2 linked regions of the Cricetulus griseus genome follow. The protein of the gene in region 2 purifies or fractionates together with the protein of the main gene of each other region. This does not show direct contact. Links are inferred from orthologs where the notes say so. Each region holds a gene or a part of one and is shown on either strand. Other genes may lie near its edges.

Evidence for each region.
Region 1: the proteins of Araf (region 2) and Bag2 purify together in Homo sapiens (affinity purification with mass spectrometry; 3 studies listed by BioGRID and IntAct, with this or other methods). This does not show direct contact. The link is inferred for Cricetulus griseus from reciprocal best matches to the Homo sapiens genes ARAF and BAG2.

What each region holds. Positions count from the first base shown.
Region 1 is NW_023276807.1:14,224,779-14,234,543, forward strand, and holds the start of Bag2 (BAG family molecular chaperone regulator 2), read left to right. Parts: upstream 1-3,783; 5' UTR 3,784-3,854; coding exon 3,855-3,967; intron 3,968-9,765. UniProt on the Homo sapiens protein: Co-chaperone for HSP70 and HSC70 chaperone proteins. Acts as a nucleotide-exchange factor (NEF) promoting the release of ADP from the HSP70 and HSC70 proteins thereby triggering client/substrate protein release.
Region 2 is NC_048604.1:125,698,124-125,708,002, reverse strand, and holds the start of Araf (serine/threonine-protein kinase A-Raf), read right to left. Parts: upstream 5,214-9,879; 5' UTR 5,058-5,213; intron 4,743-5,057; exon of another isoform or gene 3,889-4,742; intron 3,733-3,888; 5' UTR 3,676-3,732; coding exon 3,580-3,675; exon of another isoform or gene 3,545-3,579; coding exon of another isoform or gene 3,533-3,544; intron 3,410-3,532; coding exon 3,306-3,409; intron 2,351-3,305; coding exon 2,248-2,350; intron 2,159-2,247; coding exon 2,004-2,158; intron 1,887-2,003; coding exon 1,788-1,886; intron 465-1,787; coding exon 308-464; intron 207-307; coding exon 179-206; intron 85-178; coding exon 1-84. UniProt on the Homo sapiens protein: Involved in the transduction of mitogenic signals from the cell membrane to the nucleus. May also regulate the TOR signaling cascade. Phosphorylates PFKFB2.

The sequences.
Region 1 (9,765 bases), on a different chromosome or scaffold from region 2:
CTACTTTGTGAGTGTTGGGATTCTGGGGGGGAATGTTTTACTTTTTTGGCTCTTTGGGGGGCCCAATACCCAGCTTCAAAATAAATCACACATGGAGGCTTATTATTCTTAGTTATTTATACTCTCTGCCTGCCAGCTCCACCTATTCTTGCTCTTGCCTTGCTACTGGCCATCCATCTCTTCATTAGACCAATCGGGTATGTTAGGCAGGCAAACTAAAACAGCTTCACAGAGTTAAGCAAATGCAGCATCAGCAAAAGTCAAACACCTTAAAGTAATATTCCCCAATACAGAGGTTTGCCACTATGCCTTTCTTTTTTAAGTAGATATTATAGCTTGAGAATTTGGTATTTATATTGCAAAATCAATCAGACTGTGCTTTATTTTTCTTTTGCTTTTGTTTTCAAGAAGCTGTCACTATGCAGCCCAGGCTGCTTTGACATTTTTATGTTAAAGTGTCAAGCAAGGCTATATAAAAGGCAGTCCTCATGTTGATCTTAAACACATTTGCAGGACCTTGCTAAACAACAAGAAAGACAACCTTGAAAGTAGCTATGCAGATCTGGAACAAGAAGAAACATTTGCATTTCTTTGCCAGAAATTCCACAGAAATTCTACATCCAAGCATGGTGTACCCTGATAGTCTGTTAAGGAGCTTTTGTGTTAAGTGTGTGGCTCAGTGTTTGCCTAGTGTGCCTAAGATCAGGGATTCACTCCCAGCACCTCCTATAGCATTCATACAGCAGCCGAACCTTTTGGTTTGACAGGAAAGGGATAGTTCCCTGAGGCTCTTAGGAAGAGGTAACAGTGTTCTTTAATGTGTTAACATCATTACTCACTAAATGATTTTAAAACATTATAAAACTGCTTCATAATTTGAATTTAGACAGGAATCATTAATAATAAAGTTGTAGATTATTATCTCAAGTATATTTCTAATATTGATAACAGGGTTTTTTTTTTTTTTTTCATTTCATTGTTAATTCACTTGTTCACAAAGTATTGTGGATCTACCAAGTGACAGCAGCTGCTCAAAGTACATGAGATGGGACAGTGATCCTAAGAGCTCCGGTCCCTCTACTGCTCAGACATGGAGAGTGGGCTATATGGAGAGAGTATTGGGTAACAAGCAGATAGGTAAAACTGTACCTATTGGGGATAATGTAGTAAGTATAGAAGCAGTGAGAATGATGCCGGATTCAGGGTGGGTTGCAGCACTGGGGATCATCAAATCTGGGGCAGCATCCATGCTAGGCAAACACTCTCTACCACTTAGCTCTCCCCAACCCTAGAATTACTTCTTTTTTTGAGCCAGCATCTTGCTGTGTAGCCTAGGTTAGTCTCCAATCCAGGTCCTCCTGGTCAGCCTTATGCTTGATGGGATTACAGATGTGCGCCCACTCCGCTCAGCTCAGGCTTGATATTTTTAACAGTGGTCAGGAAAAATTTCACTGGTAAGTGAACTTAAGCCAAGATTCAAAGAAGGCAAAGGAATCAGCCATGCAAAAAAATGTACAAGGTGGCCCCTGACTTGTGGTTTGATTTAGGATTTTGCAAAAGTGACACACACTTAAGAGAAATGGTGCTTCTTTTGTTTGCTCTGTGGTGAGCCACAGGAGGTTCCTGAGGGTTTGGTACAATCTACTGTGCTTAAATACTGTATTAAGAATTCCCAAGAGATGTCCGGGCGTTGGTGGTGCACGCCTTTAATCCCAGCACTCGGGAGGCAGAGGCAGGTGGATCCCTGTGAGTTCGAGACCAGCCTGGTCTATAAGAGCTAGTTCCAGGACAGTCTCCAAAGCCACAGAGAAACCCTGTTTCGAAAAACCAAAAAAAAAAAATTCCCAAGAGAGGCAAGATAGATGCCGAGGGAGCGGATGGGGCTTTGCAGTCACCCAGGGAAGACTGGCCAGGTGATGGTGGGATTGGAAGAGTCAAGATATATTCTGAAAGTAGAATTGGGACTTACTAATGGGTTGGGTCCAGGATATGAGTGAAAGTCCAGAGTGATTCTAGTCTAGAACCCTGAAAATTACCAAACCTGTAACAAAATGTTCTGTTGGTTGTGAAACCAAAATAAGCACAGCCAAGATGAAAACTACAAAGGTTTGCAACCTGTACTGGGTAGGAAGGAAGAGCATGGGAGCCATTACCAAAGCAAAGCTCTCCACAAACTCCACAAGCACTGGGGATTTCGTTCAGAGAGTCTATAGTCATATGGGAGGAGCCTGGCCATTCAGAAGCACACTCTCTCTAAAGAGTTCACACATCTTTAGACAGGAACACACATGTAGTCTGAAAATGCCTCTGTGTGTGCCCAACTGGTGACACAAAATTAAAATAAAATGGTTACTTTGAAGATATCTGCTATATTAGTTCCTTTTGCTGGGATAAAACACCATGACCAAGGCAACTTATAAATCATTTAAGCCCCGCGGTGGTGGCACTTGCCTTTGATCCCAGTACTCAGGAGGCAGAGGCAGGCAGATCTCTGTGAGTTCCAGACCAGCCTGGTCTACAGAGGGAGTTCCAGGACAGGTTCCAAAGCTACAGAAAAACCCTGTCTCAAAAAACAAAGCAAAACATCATTTAATTGGGCTCAGCTACAGAGGGTCAGAGTCACGATGGCATCAAGGACAGGTTCTGAGCACTCATCTGGAACCCAAGGAGGAGGCAGAGACACACTGGGAATGGCTAGTCTTCTGCAACATGCCCAGAGTGACATACTTCCTCCAGCAAGACCACACATAATCGTTCCCAAACAGCCAACTGAGGACCAGATGCCAGAGAGCATAAGACACTGAATCCATGACATCTGCCTTGTTTAGTTGCTAACCTAGGACAAAGGCAGATGCTATACCACCGAGCTACGTCTACAGCCCCTTATACTTTTTGAGATTTTTAGCTCTTGGCAAAGCAACCCCGCCTGGCCTTTGAACTCACTCTGGCCCGAGAGACACAATCCTTTATCAACATCCAGATGAGCTGGCATTAGACCTGAGATGAGCGCAAGCTTCGATTTTTCAAGACATTCACAAAACGTTCAAATTTCACATTTGTGTCATGAAATGACAATGTTTAATGAAGCCAGATAACCTACTGTTCCTTATTATGTAAAATGAGTTGGGGATGGGGCGGGTGGTGATGGTGGTGGAGGACCTGGAAGCCAGCTGTGCTTAAGGGACTTGACTCTGTTAAGTCATCAAATGGCTTTGAGTTCTGATTCAAGGTTGTAAATCCAAGTTTCTCATTTTCTGTGCACCGAGAGGACAAAACACAACTCTAACCAGACATGGCTTTGTATTTCAACCCTACTCCACCTCTTAGTGACCTCTGCAGGAGCCTATTGAATATTATTCACGGAGGATTTCAATAAGTTGGGTGTGAAAGTAATAACCTTTCATTAGAAAGGCGAGACAGTATAAATGCACTTGGCTTTTCCTTATTTGGAGCACAGTGTTGCCCAGGCTCTCCCTGTCCTCTTAGGAGCCTGCCTGGTAACCCGGCAGGTCGGGCAAGTAGAGACTGCCCCTAAGGCGCACTCAATTGTCTTAACGCTACACCAGGGGATCTTTTCTCCCACGTCACGGGCCGCACGATTTTGTCCCTGCTGTGAATTGTGGGTGTTGGGACAAACATCAGAAGCCATCGGCGAGCCGGCAGCCCGGTGGGAGGCTGGCGACGGGCACCGGGACAGGGTCCCCCACCCGAGTGCTGGCGGCTGCGCCCGCGCCTGCCCTTGTTTGGCCGCGCGGCCTCGGGGGCGGTGCCGTCCGCGTCAGCGGCGCCCGCGGTGACGGCGACGTGCGGCCCGCGCCACTGCTGCCCGCGGACGCCCCGGACCCCCGGAGCTCATGGCCCAGGCGAAGATCAGCGCCAAGGCCCACGAGGGTCGCTTCTGTCGCTCCTCGTCCATGGCAGACCGCTCCAGTCGCCTGCTGGAGAGCCTGGACCAGCTGGAGCTCAGGTGAGGGCGGGCGGGCGGGTGAGCGTGCAGGCGGGGGCGCCTCGGGTGGGCTCCACTCCCCGGGCGAGCGCGCGCGGCCTGCCCAACTTCCAGAACCTTGTGTGTGGTCCCCGCTGCCTCTAACTTCCACGTTTCCAGTAATGCTCTTTGGAGGGAGGCAGCAGCTTAGTGGGGTCTCTCCCTCCCACCTTCCCATTGTAGTAAGTTTCTTTGCCCCAAACCACTTCATAGTAACACAAGAGTAAGGAAAATTCCAGACTGCACCTCCCGCGACCAGCGAGAATTAGACCCACGAGTGGCCGTTGTGGGTGGCAAAGTTGGATGCGTTCTTTCATTTTCTTAACCACGTGCAATGCCCTCCGCATTCGGTCTGTATCTGTTGTGCATTTAGAAGATACTGATGACACCTAGGAAGTGCCAGCCACAGGCCTGAAAAGGTACGAGTCACACTCTGCCTGAGATTCTATCGCAGGATCGGTGTTGTAGTAAAATTTCTAAATAGTAAATACTAGCAAATGCTGTAAATACTTTGTTGCCTACAGCAATTTGAGATCTTACCTATCTGGTTAATGTCTCCGAAGTTGTGCAAGTCTTGATTGTGTGCAGGTGTTGTTCCATGAAAATCTTATCAAGGCACCCTGGGTCTTCTGGAACTGCGAACATTTTGTTCCCTAGTTTTCTCCAGGTTCTGCATAAGCAAAAGAATATGAGCAAAATCATAAGAGTCTTGTGTGCCTAATCTCCTTCCATTCGTCCACCAAACAAACAAACGGGAGGATGTTTGCACAGAAAACTACCACAAGCAGCATTGTTACAAATGAGGCATTTGTTATTATTACTATTAGGAGCAGAGATCCAGACGGTGAGAAATTTTTTTCACAATTTCCTGAGTAGCCACAAGAGAAGCCTTAACCATACAGTCCCCAGCCCGGAGTGAGACAAAGGGACCTCAGCTTTCAAGCCCTTCTGAGGAGAGGGAATGCTTCCCTCTACAAAGTAGGCACTGAACTTGGACAGTATATTCTCAACTGCTCAGATTTTTTTCTCCTTGAAAGGGTTTAGGAAGTTGTTACTCTTCTTTAGCTGAGTCACTGTCCTGAAACCTGAATTAATGCCTCCCTAGTGCTGGGTAGGGGGGTGGAGGGGGTTCCTGAAAGCCTTGGGTTTGGTGTTGCAGTCTAATGTTTGGTTAATGTAAAAGGAATTCTGACTGTTGCACATATGTGATTAATTGATACTTTAACTATTTGCTGAGAGGGAGAGTTTAATGTGTGTTTAATGGCTCAAGGCATGGGGCTCCTTTTTAGAAGCCACTTTGACACAGGGCACTGCACTATTAAAAATTTAGACTTTTAGCTGGGCAGTGGTGGCACACACCTCTAATCCCAGCACTCGGGAGGTAGAAGCAGGTGGATATCTGTGAATTTGAGGCCAGCCTGGTCTACACAGTGAGTTCCAGGACTGGCTTCATAGTTACTGAGAAACCCTGTCTTAAAAAAAAACAAAATAAAACAAAACAAAATTTTTAAATATGGATGATAGAGGAAAGATGAAGCTTGTGTGATTTCCCGATACTAGCTTCCTTGTATACAAATATTAGCAAGGCTGTGGATTTGGTGCTGTAAAACCCTGGTTTGTAGATAGTATGCATTTTCCAGTCAGTTGTGTGGATTCTATTGACAGTGGAAGTCACTTTTTCTTCTGAAACTGAAACCACATCAAAGGCTTTATATCCTGGAGGCTGAACTGACCTCTGGGATTGCCTAAAATGCTTTAAAATGTTCAGCCCTGTTTTACAAGCTGTTAGTGGATTGTCGTTCGTTTCTATTAGTTTATAATATTAACTACACTATCTGACATTAAAAAAAATATTTTCTACTACAGCTCCTCTAAAGAGGTAACCCTGTCCTTTCTTGATTTTTGCGACCAGTTCTATGGGATTCTGCGCCCTTCGTGGCTAGATGGCTTACTTATTACTTTTTAATGTTTATCCTAGTTTATAAATAATACATGTTAGCATCTATCTGCATGCTAGGCCTCATGCCTCTGTGGGAGTTACCATTATCTGTATTCTACAGATGAGAAATTGAAGCTCAGATATAAACGACATGCCTCAAGTTGCAGCCAAGAGCTGTGGACTCCACGTTTGAACACAGGAAGAGGGGCTGCTCAGATCAAACACCATGTGTCTTAGTGTTGAATATATCATTTTTCAAACTGTCCAGTTGGCATAAGAACGTGCTTTTACTAAAAGAAAAATCAATTTAGCATTTAATTGAGTAAATATTGAGCACCCAGTACGTGCCAAGTATTGAGTAGCTTCTAGAAGCTGTGGGTGATAAAGCAGCTGGGTCTCGGGGATTGGCAGAGGAGGAATGAATGATAGGTAGGACTGGGAGGTCGGCTGTCCGTACACTTCCCAAATGGTCCCATAGGGAGTAGTTCTTTCCAGTCCACCCAGGCAGGAAATGATGTTGTCGCCAGGGCCAAGGAAATGCACTGTCCGCTGCTTTGGTTTCTTACTGCTTAAGGTTCCTGTCAGGATGTCCCAGTGTCCCAGGACTCACAAAGCAAGTCGACACCATATTTAATTGGAGTAATAGTCTGTAATTTAAAAGAACACTTTTCATATACCTTGTAATTTGAAACTTCTATAACCCTTGAGGAGGAGGAAGCTGTTATTATCTCTTTCAGCTGTGAGAGCAGTGGGTTGCAAAGGAGCTTAGTTGATAGGATGCTTGTCTAGCAGGTTCAGAACCCTACGTTTGATACCTGGCTTCAGAAAGCCAGCATGGTGGTGCATGCCTATAGTCCCAGTCCTAGAGACAAGAGGATCAGAAGTTCAAGGTCATCCTGGGCTATACAGTGAGTTCTGGGCCAGCCTGGAATACATGAGACCTGTCTGGATGGGGGGGGAGGAGAAACTGAGGGACTAGGTACCTTGTCTTAATCTATTGTACTGGTGAGTCATTCTGACTGTGAATGAGTGCTACATTTTGGTGAAGGAGAGAACCTTGCTGTCCTGACAGTATCAGGAATTGCAGCAGATGCCATGGTCTCACATGGAGCCTCGTCTGTGAGTTTAAGATCTTGTTTTAGAAAAAGTTCCTTTCTCATAAATCCACTGATGTGAACGTTTGCCAGTTCCCTGTTCATAGAAGCATACATTTTTGTTAACAAATGAGAGTGTGGCCGTGAGTAAGTCTAGAATAACCACCGTGAATCTCCTGCAGCTGATGTCATGCATAGCGTTTGACTCATGCCAAAGTTTTCAGCCGGTGCTGTCATTCTGGTTTGCTTTGTTCGGTCACGGCCAGGTCTCCTTATCCTTGGTGTCCTGGGTGAGGACATTTTGGTGAAGTCAGCAGTAGTTCCTCACACAGCATGGGTGGTAGCTCCGGAGTTGTCACTTTTGTGAGCTGCTGTCTGGTGACACCTGTCTGCACCTGCCCTTCTACCAGTTTGCCCTTGCTGCAGGCTTATGAGATGCCGGGAGGCTGGGGACCAAGTGAGGATGCTGCAGTTTTGTGTGCATGGAAATTCTCCCTACAGTCTCTTTGCCAGAGCCCGCTCAGAGTGCAGCTTGCCAGAGGTGCCGCCCAGTCAGCGGGGCTGTGAGATGCCTCCTTTCCCAATTTGGACATGTAGCTGCTCCCTGGATCCCAGTCCCCACAGAAATGCCCCTTGATGACAAGAGAAGAATCATCACATGTGTTTATCAAGACTGGATGTTTATATCTGTCTATCTACTTAAGAAACTAATAGGAAGGGAGGCAGACAGTATATAAGGTTCAGTCACTAACCTCAGACTAATGGAAAAGCTACATAGACAAAATTCTGTGAATTGAGTTTAAGTACAGCAATAAAACAGTGCAAACATAATTTAAACAAGCTGAGTAGTGAGGAATGCTGGCCTAGTGCACATGAAACCCTAGGTTCCATCGCCAGTACAGATAAACCAGGCATCGTCTATGTCTGTAACACCAGCACTCAGGAGGTAGAAGTGGAAAGGTCAGAAGCTCAAGTGGATTCCAAGCTAGCCTGGGATACATGAGGTCCTGTCTCAGAGGGAAGAGGGTGGGGGTAAGACCAATGAACAGTGCTGTCCTGCCTTCTTTTAAAGTCAGCTTGAAACAAGCTAGGGCCATTTGGGAAGAATGACTCTCAACTGAGAAAATGCCTCCATAAGATCAAGCTGTAGGCAAGAAAGCCTTTTTTGGGCAGTGGTTCTCAACGTTCCTAATGCTGTGTAACCCTTTAATACAGTTCCTCATGTTGTGGTGACCCCCAACCAGAAAATTATTATCGTTGCTACGTCATAACTATAATTTTGCTGCTTTTATGAATTGTAATGTGTTTTCCGATGGTCTTGGGCAACTCCTGTGAAAGGGTTGTTTGACCCCCCCCCCAGCCCCAAGGGGTTGAGAACCACTGCTTTGGGATATTTTGTTTTCTTTTTTATAATTAGTGATTGGTGTAGAAGAAGCCATCCATTGTGGGTGGCACCATGCCTGGGCTGGAGTTCTTTCTATAAGAAAGACTGAGCAAGCCATGAGGGAGCCAGCCAGTAAGCAACATTTTTGTAGCCTCTGAATCAGCTTCTACCTCCAGGTTCCGTCCTGTTTGAGCACACGGACTGCATTCAGTGGTGCACTGTGATGTGGAAGAGTCAGAAAAATAAACCCTTTCCTCCCCAGGTCACTCTTGCTCATGCTGATCTGTCACAGCAATAGACACCATGACTAAGACAAGTGCCAAGGAAGGTACTCATTTCCTTAAGGAAAAGGAAGAGGGAAGCTGTGAACAGTCCCTGCCCAAGGGAAACAGAATTTTTTAAAATACCCTAAATATCAGGAAGAATGTTGGAGGAAGAAAGAACAGAAAATGAAAGGCCCACGATAAATGTAGAAATATATGTAGACATGTATATCGCTCTGGCAATTTCTACTATGCATAAAGAACTTTCAGGGGAAGGAAGATCCCCCATCAGTCAATATCATTCTCTCTCTCTCTCTCTCTCTCTCTCTCTCTCTCTCTCTCTCTCTCTCTCTGAGATCAAACTCAAGGCTTTATAAATCTAAGCACATCCTGGACCTCAAAGCTACATCCCTGGCTCAAATAGCTTCTTTATACACAGAGCTGTTTTCCCCTAGGACGTTTCCTTTTTAATCTGTTTCATTAACCCCACAAACTAAGGGCTGCACCTGAGTACTGTAATGAAGCCCTTTTAGAACAGCATCCATCCCTCAGTCATATTTAATACAAGTGCAAGTGCTAAAATGTAATCCCGTCGTTCTGAGTCTGTGCATCATCTCTCTAAACACTGGAGTCATAATTAGAGTTTCTAATTATAAACATTTCACATCTTGCCAGCTGGGCCTCTTTCTTACCTACTGGGCTCTCATTTATCTGCAGGAGGCCACTACTGTAATACAGTGGGCTTAGAAGGAGCTTGTTGCCCTACCAATATTTTGTCTTGTTTGGTTTGTGGCCAGATTTGTACATACAATTCTTGGCTGCTCGTACTGGCTCTTTAGAGACGTGCTATAAGTGAACCACCCCAAAGTGCTATTTTGGGGTTTGACAGGTGGGTGACATGTGGATGGGTTGAGAATGGGAGGTCACGGGTTGATGTGTGCTAATAAAAGGTTGGTGAGATTGTTCCCTCTCTGGCCACTTCCACTAGTGATCTGGGTTGGAACGCCTGCCTGTGGCCTCATGTTCTGGGGTCATCTACAAAAGCTGGGACTGTAGTCACTGTAACCTATACGAAAGTGACCTAGAAATAGAAAACTTAA
Region 2 (9,879 bases):
TGGAATGTGGGGACTTCCTCCCCGAGGACACACTAGCTGGGCTAGGGCTACCACGGGGTGCTCCATCACCACCTTTACCAGCAGCTGTGGTTGTACAGAATACTATGAGTGAATGCAAGTGGGGTGGTGGGGTAGAGAGAGCTCAGGGTGCAGGCAAGGGGTGGGGGGATTCTCTCACCATCGGTGCTGAAGCTCTGAGCAGTGAACTGGAAGGGGGTGGGAGCAGTAGTTAAAGTGAGCATGTAACAACAGAAACGGCTCAGAGCAATGCTCTGTTGCTCCCCACCATTGCCTCCTTGGCACCCACCTGCATGAGGCTGGAGTCCATGGGCGCTGTGGTGCTGACCATGTGGACGTTAGGAGTAGATGTAGAGCGGATGCGCTGCAGTGGGGGATTGGCAGGGGCAGGGAAGGAGAAGTGCTCCAGGTCACGGGGCTGGGTGCGGGGGCTGATAGAGAAAAGGCTATGAAATCGATGCAAAAGGAAGCAGAAAGCAAAGAAAGCCCAACCCTGCCACCCTGAATGTACATTTAACTCATACATAGTACATGTCTACTGGTCACACCAGTAACCATCTGTTCAAGAAACATTTACTAAGTGCCTCGTGTAAACCAGATTCCACTCTCAACTCAAGATCAAACTGTGGATACCATAAATTAGAAGCTCTTGTCCTTGTAGGGTTATTCTAGTAGAGGTAGAAGAAATATATATATATATATATATATATATATATATATATATATGGATATATGTATATATCCATATATATATATATCCTGCTACTGATAGACACAAAAAGGAGAAAAATAAAATGAAGTAAGGTAGAAAGTGTCCCTGGGATAGTCAGGAGTAGGCTCTCAGAAAGGGTGACATTGGGGAAAAGGTCTAAAGGAGGGACAATGAAGGCCAAAGATAGTTGAAGAAAGGGTAAGATATGATTTTTTTATTACATATCATCATAATGACATGTATTTTTCAAATGTTATTTATTTTGTAATAATATATATTACCTATATTAAAATGGCAATGTTTTAAATATACATATTATCATATTATGTAATACATATTACACATATAATATAAAGATTACACATATATCATGTTACAAAAACTTTTTTTGCTGTTTTGAGACAGTCTCATGTAGTTCAGGCTTGAACTTGCTGATTAGTGGAGGGTGGCCTTGAACTATTGATCCTCTTGCCTCTACATCCCATGAATTAGCACACCTTACACAAAACATTTTTCTGTTCCTTTCACCATCCTGAGACTAAATTTATGGGTAATCAACACACATACACTCATAACTACAAATAAAAAAAATACATTAACCTGACCTTTTATATATTATATAAAAGTATATGGTATCCTCCCCTTTCTAATAAAACTTCCCACTCAAAAAAAAGTACTTTTCTGATACACTAATATGTATTTCAAAGAGAACAGACTTGAGTGTGGTTATACTGGAAGAATCAAACAAACTAGTTAGATGTTTGTATATTTGTAATTAACAATAAGAATTATTTACTCTGTATCAGATCCCACACTAATCATTGCACATATCTCAACTCTTAATCATTTTCACAACCCACTGTGGTGAAGTACCATCCCCTCTTTCCAGATGAAAGAGCCAGTGTGACAAGGTGCCTTACAGTTCCATGACCTTCCACAGACTTGTATATGCTCAATAAGCATTTATGAAGTAGACGAATGGATAAAAATATGACCTACCAGGGTCCTCTGACCCTTTCCTCACTGACCCCCAGCCTTTTACCTAAGGCATCCCTACCTGGGACCCTGGGGGGTTAGCAGCTCATTCACAGGGAGATTTGAGGGAACCTCTTGCTGCCTGGAGCCTCCAGACAAATCCTGAATGCTGTGGTAGAACCTTGAGGACATAAAGGTGTAAAACAAGAAGGCTGTGAGTGTAGGTCAGCTGTCTGTCAGCCCTTGTACCTGGGCTTCTGTCCTCCCCATCCCTTAAGCCACCCCAGGCTAGGCTCACTGTTGGCGGTTGGTACTCATGTCAACGCAGACTGTGGGGACCTTGGAGGAACAATGCTGGTGGAACTTGTAGCCACAGGTTTGGCAGCGGAAGCCATGGAACAGAAACTTAAGGCAGAAGTCACAGAAGGCCAGGCTGAAGAATGTCTTCCGTACCTGCAGTCACAAAGCAGGGAAAACCCAGGCCTGGTTGAGGGCCCTCTCTGTCAACACCATGGCCTCCCCCACCACCCTGTCGCACTTACAAAATTGTGCATGGTCAGTGGCACATCTTCTAGGACCTCCACAATGAGCTCTTCACCATCCAGGGGTGCAATGGCTGTGTCCCAGGCAGTGACTGTTTTCCTTCTGAAAGGAGTATGGGAGAGAACAAATAGGATGGTGGACTAGGGCTATGGTAGACAAGGAAGTTCCAAAAGTTCCTCTCAGCCCCATCCATGAACTACTCTCTGGAATGTTTACTTTTCACTCAGCTAGTCACTATTAGGCTGGAGAGATGGCTCAGCAGTAAGAGTACTTGCTGCTCTTGCAGAGGACCTGGGTTTAGTTCTAGACATTCACATGCTGGCTCACAATCTCCAGTTCTGGGGGATCTAGAACCTTCTGGCCTCCATAAGCATCAGGAACACACAGTACACACACACACACACACACACACACACACACACACACACACACAGAGTCAAAACACTCACACACAAAAAAGAAGGTAAAATTTCCCAAGAAAAAAGCCACTATTCTCACTCCCATTTTATAGATGAGGAAACAGGCTCAAGAGATGAAGTGATTTGCCTAATTGCTAGGATCACAGGTATGCCCACCATTCCCAGATTCAATCCATGATCTTTAACCATGAGATAAGAGGCAAATGAGATGAAATGTCAGAAGTATTAAGCCAGCACCTGAGAATGGGGCTGATAAGACATTGAAAGAATAGATAAAATGTAAAACATGAACTACATCCAAAAAGTTAAGGAACCAAAGAACACAGGAATAAAAGAATACCATTGAAGACCAATTCTACAGTCCATGAGGGAAATGAGAAAAGAAAGAGCTGATGAGTTCAGGAAATTGTGACAGAACAAAATAGATGAACTCTGGAAGGTGACGGAATGAGGACCTGAAGGCTGAGTAGATAATGAGTTGCAGACCTTCCAGGTCCATGAATGAAGTGAAACAAAAGATGTTACCTGGGTTACCTCAACTAGTGGAAGACTCCAAGACAGAAAAGAAGGACTAAGATGACACTGATGAACAGAGGTTTTTGGGTACCCAATGGATGGCACAGGGTTTCCATACTTACCCTTTGATGAGTCTGTAGACCACGCAGCAATCCTGATTGAGACCCCGAACCTTGAGGGCCTTGTCCAATGAATCATAGACACTCATGCCATCCCGGACAGTCACCTATGTGTGGATGTGTACACAGGTTGGGGTCTTGAGTACCTAATAAATGCCCTAGCCAATTATCCCATCCCTCTGCAGTAGCCATTCCCTGGCCCCTTGTCACCCTTCTTATCCCAGACTTACAATTGGGACCATCTGGAACACATGCCAGTTTTGTCTCAGTGACTCACCACTGTGCGTTGCTTGTTAGGCAGGTACACTTTGACAGTGCCAACTGCCCGAGATGGCTCAGCCCCACTAGCAGGAGGGCCTCGTGGTGGTTCCATGGAACCTGCTTTTGTCAAGATGGGCTGAGGTAGGACTGAACGGGTGCCATAGGGCTCCTAGGAGAGGGCAGAGGAAAAATTCCGAGGTCTAGTAATAATAGTTTGAAAGCAGAATGGCAGAGGACAAATAAAATTCCATCTCCAAGCTCCCATTGCTCCCTGCAGCCCAAATTTCATGAAATAGCCCTGATAATGCTAACACCTGGTGCTTACCCTTCTCTGCTCAGAATCTCCTATTGCTTATCTCACAGTTGAGTGCCAAGATCTCAAAATCACCTCAGTGAGGAAGCACAGTACACAAAATTCTTCTGGAGACTAATGGGGATGTCAGTATGTACTGTACTGGAGAACAAAGGCTCAAACACATAATGGGAATGAACAGGCTGCCCTGGCTTTTAATGGAGAATGAAGAGATCAGATAGTATAGTAAAAGGAGTTACAGACAGGGAACGGAAAAATGGACGATCGTCGTATCTTTATGTCGTATCTTTCCTCCATTTGGAGGAAATGGAGACTGTGCCATGATGTTAAAAGGCACTGTGAGAGCATCCCAGAGCCCTGAGCTGCAAGGCTGAGGGTAGAATTAAAGGCACTGTCAGATAGCCAATAGAGGTCACCAGACTGTGATGAATTCACAAAGTGGGTCACCAAGCACTATGCTGAAGAGAAATATAATAGGAGTCATTAGGGACTATGAAAGGCAGATGGATAATAGACTGAATTACACATTTAAGCCAAATGCAAATGGCAATAACTGCCCACCAGAAAACACTGCTAAAAGGAAAGGAAAAAGAACACAATGATATCCAGGTGAGGAAAATAGAGGTAAGGTTGGGGAAAAGGTCTCCAAAAATTCTCCCAGATAACTACTGAAGGGTCACAAATACATTACTGATGTAAACGCACTGGGGAATCTTGGAAGGAGGCTGAGGTGAATTAGGGGTAATGGGGCGGTCCTCAAACATTTTCCTAAGAGGGGTAGAATTTTTAGGATAACAAGGAATCATGGGAGAGAGCTGCATCTCCTGGATTTGGTGAGGAAATGTCAGCCACTTGGAGGGGTTTGAGTTCATCTTAGAATCTCGCACCCAAGCCCCAGACCCCAGACCCCATTTGGCCCGGTCCCGCCCTCCCGAAGGGCTTTAGGTTCTGCGCAGGCGCACTGCCACTCGCAGCGGGCGCAACCACAGCAGGCTGTCCGCGGACTCTATCCACTCCCGCGGTAGATGATGGTCTCGCCCCGGGTCAAACCACTCCTTTGGTTCCGGGCGGGGGGTGTTGAGATTCAGACAGAAACATCTTGGAGCTTAGCTTTCGGTCCGACTTCCTGCCCGGGTCCGGCGGCAGCTCCAAAACCCAAACCCTACCGGGCCTGCCCTCACCTGTCACACCGCTACCACCACCACCGCCTCCATCTTGGGCCTGTCTTCTTGTTTCCTCTTAACAGTCCGCCGCCACCGTCCCTCGGCTTCTTGTTATTGGCTCTCCAGGACTCAGCCCTCCGTTCTTATTGGAGGAAGATCACGCCCGTCAACACAGGACCAGCGGAATGTGGGTCGTGTTCCGGATTAGGAGGGGTGGCCCCAAATGGTAGTCTCTAGGGCAAATTCGCCTGTCCTGATTGGCGCTCAGGCACAGTCTGGACGACAACTGCGTGTTAAGGACTTTAACCCTAACACTGCTGCAGAATAAAAAAAGCTTGTCCTTTTTTTGGTGTGAGTGTCGGGAGGACGACTCGATTTTAATTGTGTATTTTCTGGCCATTTGGGGCTGATTTTAGGGGCTTAAGAATAAGGGCGAGAGAAAACCCTTAAATGCAATTTGGAGCCAGTGCTGTAAGCACATTTTAAAGGACGTTCGTATGTCTTAGTTTGACTATCCTTAAAATGGGGTGCAATCGGACTAAATGATGTCCAGTATTTACCAGCTTTAGGAGACTGTAGCCATAATTCTTGATAAGTAGAAGAACCGTGCTGGTGGTCTGGCTGGAGGGAGGGAGGCTTCCTTTAGGAAAATGGTTGAGGAGGAATTTGAAAGACAGGCCACAGGTGGCTAGGTGAAGAGGGGAGTGTGGATCTGGAATGCAACACTGTGGCAGCCATTTGTGGACATATTTTAGGATGAACATAGTTTTTAAATTGAACTTTCCCTGACATCAAAATAAGAATAAGAGGGACACACACACACACACACACACACACACACACACACACACACACACACACACACACACACACACGCACGTGTTCTTTTTCTTGGAACATTTCCTTTAGAAAACATATTTTCTCTGGCCATTTGAAGCTCACCAATAGAATGAACCACAAAGCCCCAAGTTAAATCCCCAGCACCCTTTAAAAAAGATTAGGTTGGTGTCTTGACAGTTTTACAACCACAGAAAATTTTCCTTAGGGGCCTTGAAACTACCTTTTTCGAATATAACAACACCCCATCTCCCTGACTGGTGGGAACTTCCTCTGTGTGTCCAGCTTAAAGTTGTTACTTGTTTGTCAGAAGTTATGAGTCTTGGTTTTCCTTTGGATAAAGTAACAGATGGCCACCCTGACTACTAGATGAATTTAGAAGGAACCCTGTATCCCAAATGGTGCTGTCACGTTTTCTTATTTCAAAACAAGTTAGCGGTTATTTTGAGAACTTGTATGTAATGGGTTGAGTCTGTTGGTTCTATAAAAGGATAAGATTTCTTTCTTTAAATTCTCTGGAAAAACATGACAAGAAATAATTTGAAAATTAAAAATCAGTCATGTAGCTCAGCAACATCATTTCTAAGTATTTACACTAGAGAAATGAAAACATATATCCAAATGATATGCTGGTAAATGGTAACAATCAGCTTTCCAGGAAGAAAACAGCTGCAATTTGTAGCATTTGCCAGTTGTGGTACAAAGATTCCTACAGTAGCTATTTCAAACTATCAATATGACATCACTGAACCAGAGTTACTACAGGCCCAAAATTGGCTGTGGTGACCCAACCACAGCATGCCTCATATCCATACTAAAAGTTGTATGTAAATGTTCAGATTATCTTTATTTATATTAACAAAAATCAAAACAAAGCAAAAAAAACACCCTAGAAACAGCCAAGGTACCCAACAAAAGAATTCACCAAGAACTATGACAATGATCACATTAATAGAATGACACTCAGAAATCACAAAGAACTAGACAACAAATGAATCCTCTGGACTTATGGTTAAGGGAAAGAAGCCAGATACAAAATAGAATCTCACAAAAGAGTATTCCATGGAATTCTAAGCCAGGAAAAACTAGTCTACAGTGAAAGAAGTCAAGCTAGTTGTCATCTTGGGGAAGAGTAGAGAGACTGTTACTATGGTGTGGAGGTGGTCTGTCCTTGTCAAAATTCCTAGTGGAATTTGATTGCCAATGCAGGAATGCTGATAGGTGAGACCTTTCAGGGGTATTGATGTCTTTATTTCAAGTCTAGCTTAGTTCTTGCTCTTGAAAAAACGTGTTCTTGGGTGCTAGGGAGATGACTCAAGTTGGTAAAGTGAGTGCTTCACAAGTACAAGTGAAGTACTGAGGTACTTCCCAAATAAAAGTAAATGGATCATGGTGATCTGTGTTTGTAATCCGTTAGAGGAGGAGACACCAAAATCCCTGGGACTAGCTGCCAGCAAGTCTAGCAGAACTAGTGAGCTCCAGGCCAATAAAAAAAGGCTCTGTCTCAACAAACAAGGTAAAGTCTAGCAAAGATGGTTCAGTGGTTAAAGGTGCTTGTGTTGGTGCACACCTTTAATCCCAGCACTTGGGAAGCAAAGGCCGGGCATATCTCTGTGAATTTGTGGTCAACTTGGTCCACAAAATGAGTTCTGAGACAGCCAATACTGTTTTTACTCAGAGAAACCCAGTCTCAAAAAACCAAAACAAAATGGTGCTTGTATTACAAACCAGGTAACCTGAGTTTGATCCCTGAAACCTACAAAAAGGTAGAAGGAAAAACCGACTCCACAAAGGTGTCTTCTGACCTCTACATATATGCCATAGCACATGTGCACCACTCCCCATCAGGGGCACACAAAATAGTAATAAAGTGGGTGGCACCTGGGGAAGGGTACCAGTTGTCAACCTCCTTATTTCATATACATGCAAACATACATACAGCTGGACACTCATGAACTCAACATAAAAGGTAAGGCTGGGTGCTTGTATACATGTGGATATCTGCCTATGTTCATGCAGGTTCATGTGCTTGTATGTGTGGGAGCCAGAGACTGGCCTGGAGGGGTCTCTCTCAATCCATCGCCACTTTACTTTTTGGACAGGGTCTCTCATTGAACCCGGAGGTCACCTTTTTTGTTAGACTGGCTGGCCAGTGAGCTCCAGGGTTCTGCCTATTTCCACCTTCTCAGCACTGGCATCACAGAGGTGCACCTGCCTTTTACCCTCAGGTCCTCATGACTGTATGGTGAGTGTTGTTTTCCCCCCATTTCCCCAGGCCCCAGAATAAAAGTGTCTGACCCTCTTTGTCCTATCTTCTATCTTCTTTTAAAAAGATTTTATTTCTTTTATGCCTCCCCCCCACCGTGTGTGTGTGTGTGTGTGTGTGTGTGTGTGTGTGTGTGTGTGTGTGTGTGTGTGTGTGTGTGTGCGTGTGTGTGTGTTTAACACATGTGTAGGTACAGGTGCTGGGAAGCAATTTTTTGTTTGTTTTTGTTTTTGTTTTGTTTTTTCGAGACAGGGTTTCTCTGGCTTTGGAGGCTGTCCTGGAACTAGCTCTTGTAGAGCAGGCTGTTCTCAAACTCACAGAGATCCACCTGCCTCTGCCTCCTGAGTGCTGGGATTCAAGGTGTGGGACACCACCACCACTGGCTGCAGCCAGAGCTCTTAACTGCTGAGCTATCTCTCCAGCCCTCCCACCCCCCACCCCTGCTGTTCTCTGTAGTCTCCATTTTCCTTCTAACTTCCCCTGTGAGGCCCTTTTCAGGAGCCAAGGAGATTCAGGTACAATTCTCTTGGACTTTCTAGCCTTCAGAAACATAAGCCCAAATTAACCTCTTTTTAGACAAACATAAAGGGATTTTTGGAGACAATTGGAATGTTCTGTATGGATTTCTTCAAAACTTATTAAACATTATCCTGAAAATAGATATATATTTTTGTAACATGAAAAATAAAAGACCCAGAGACAGCTACTGGGGTTCAAGCTTCAAGCTGAAGATCAGAAAAGCAAAGCAGCCAAGCCTGTAGATTTTCTCTCTATCGAGCTGAAATGGCAAACCTGTCATTTCAGAGGCACAAAGCTCTGAATTCCTATCTCTTTCTCCTTTTATTCCTTTCTCTGCCCAGCCATAACACTCCTGTCTCCACCTCCCTAGTGCTGGGATTAAAGGCCTGTGATCCCAGGTGCTGGGATCAAAGGCTTGGAGCTCTGATACCCTTTATCTTTGTGTAGGCCAGGGTGGCCTTGAACTCAGAGAGATCCATCTGCCTGTCTCTTGAGTCCTGGGATTAAAGGTGTGTGCCACCACTGCATTGTTTCTATAGCTAACTAGTGTGGCTGGGTTTGCATCCTGATCCTTCAGGCAGTCTTTAGTAAATCATAAATAATATATCACCACATGTATTAATTTATGTAAAATATACACCAATTAAAATGGATATAGGGCTAGAGTAACAGGGTATTTGTCATATTGCAAGGCTTGAGGCTCAATTCCCAGTGCCACCAAAATGTGCATGGCAAAAAAAATGGTTCCAGACATAATCCTAAACATAGTAATTTCTTAGAAATGACTATGGATTGAATTTTTTAAGTTTTCTTTTCTGAAATTGAATTTCTAGACCCTCAAACTCCCATCTCCCAGCGCAGGTCTACTGCGCTGTTGTGTCACAAGCAACTGCTGCTGGAACTCAGTGGCAGGCTCCAAAATGCTTTGGAAGAGGGAAGAGAGGTTGTGTTTTAAACTTTGAATTCTCCTAGATATGATTTAATTTGTTTTAAAACATTTTTAAGATTTTAGTTTTATTTCTAATCATGCGGTTGTGCATGTGGACGCCCACGGAGCACTGAAGGGCTTGGACTCTGTGGAGGACTAGGGATGGAACTTCGGTTCTCTGTAAGAATCACACTTTCTTTTAACCTCTGGGCATCTCTCCAGAGTCAGAACATTTCCTTCCTTCCTTCCTTCCTTCCTTCCTTCCTTCCTTCCTTCCTTCCTTTCTTCCT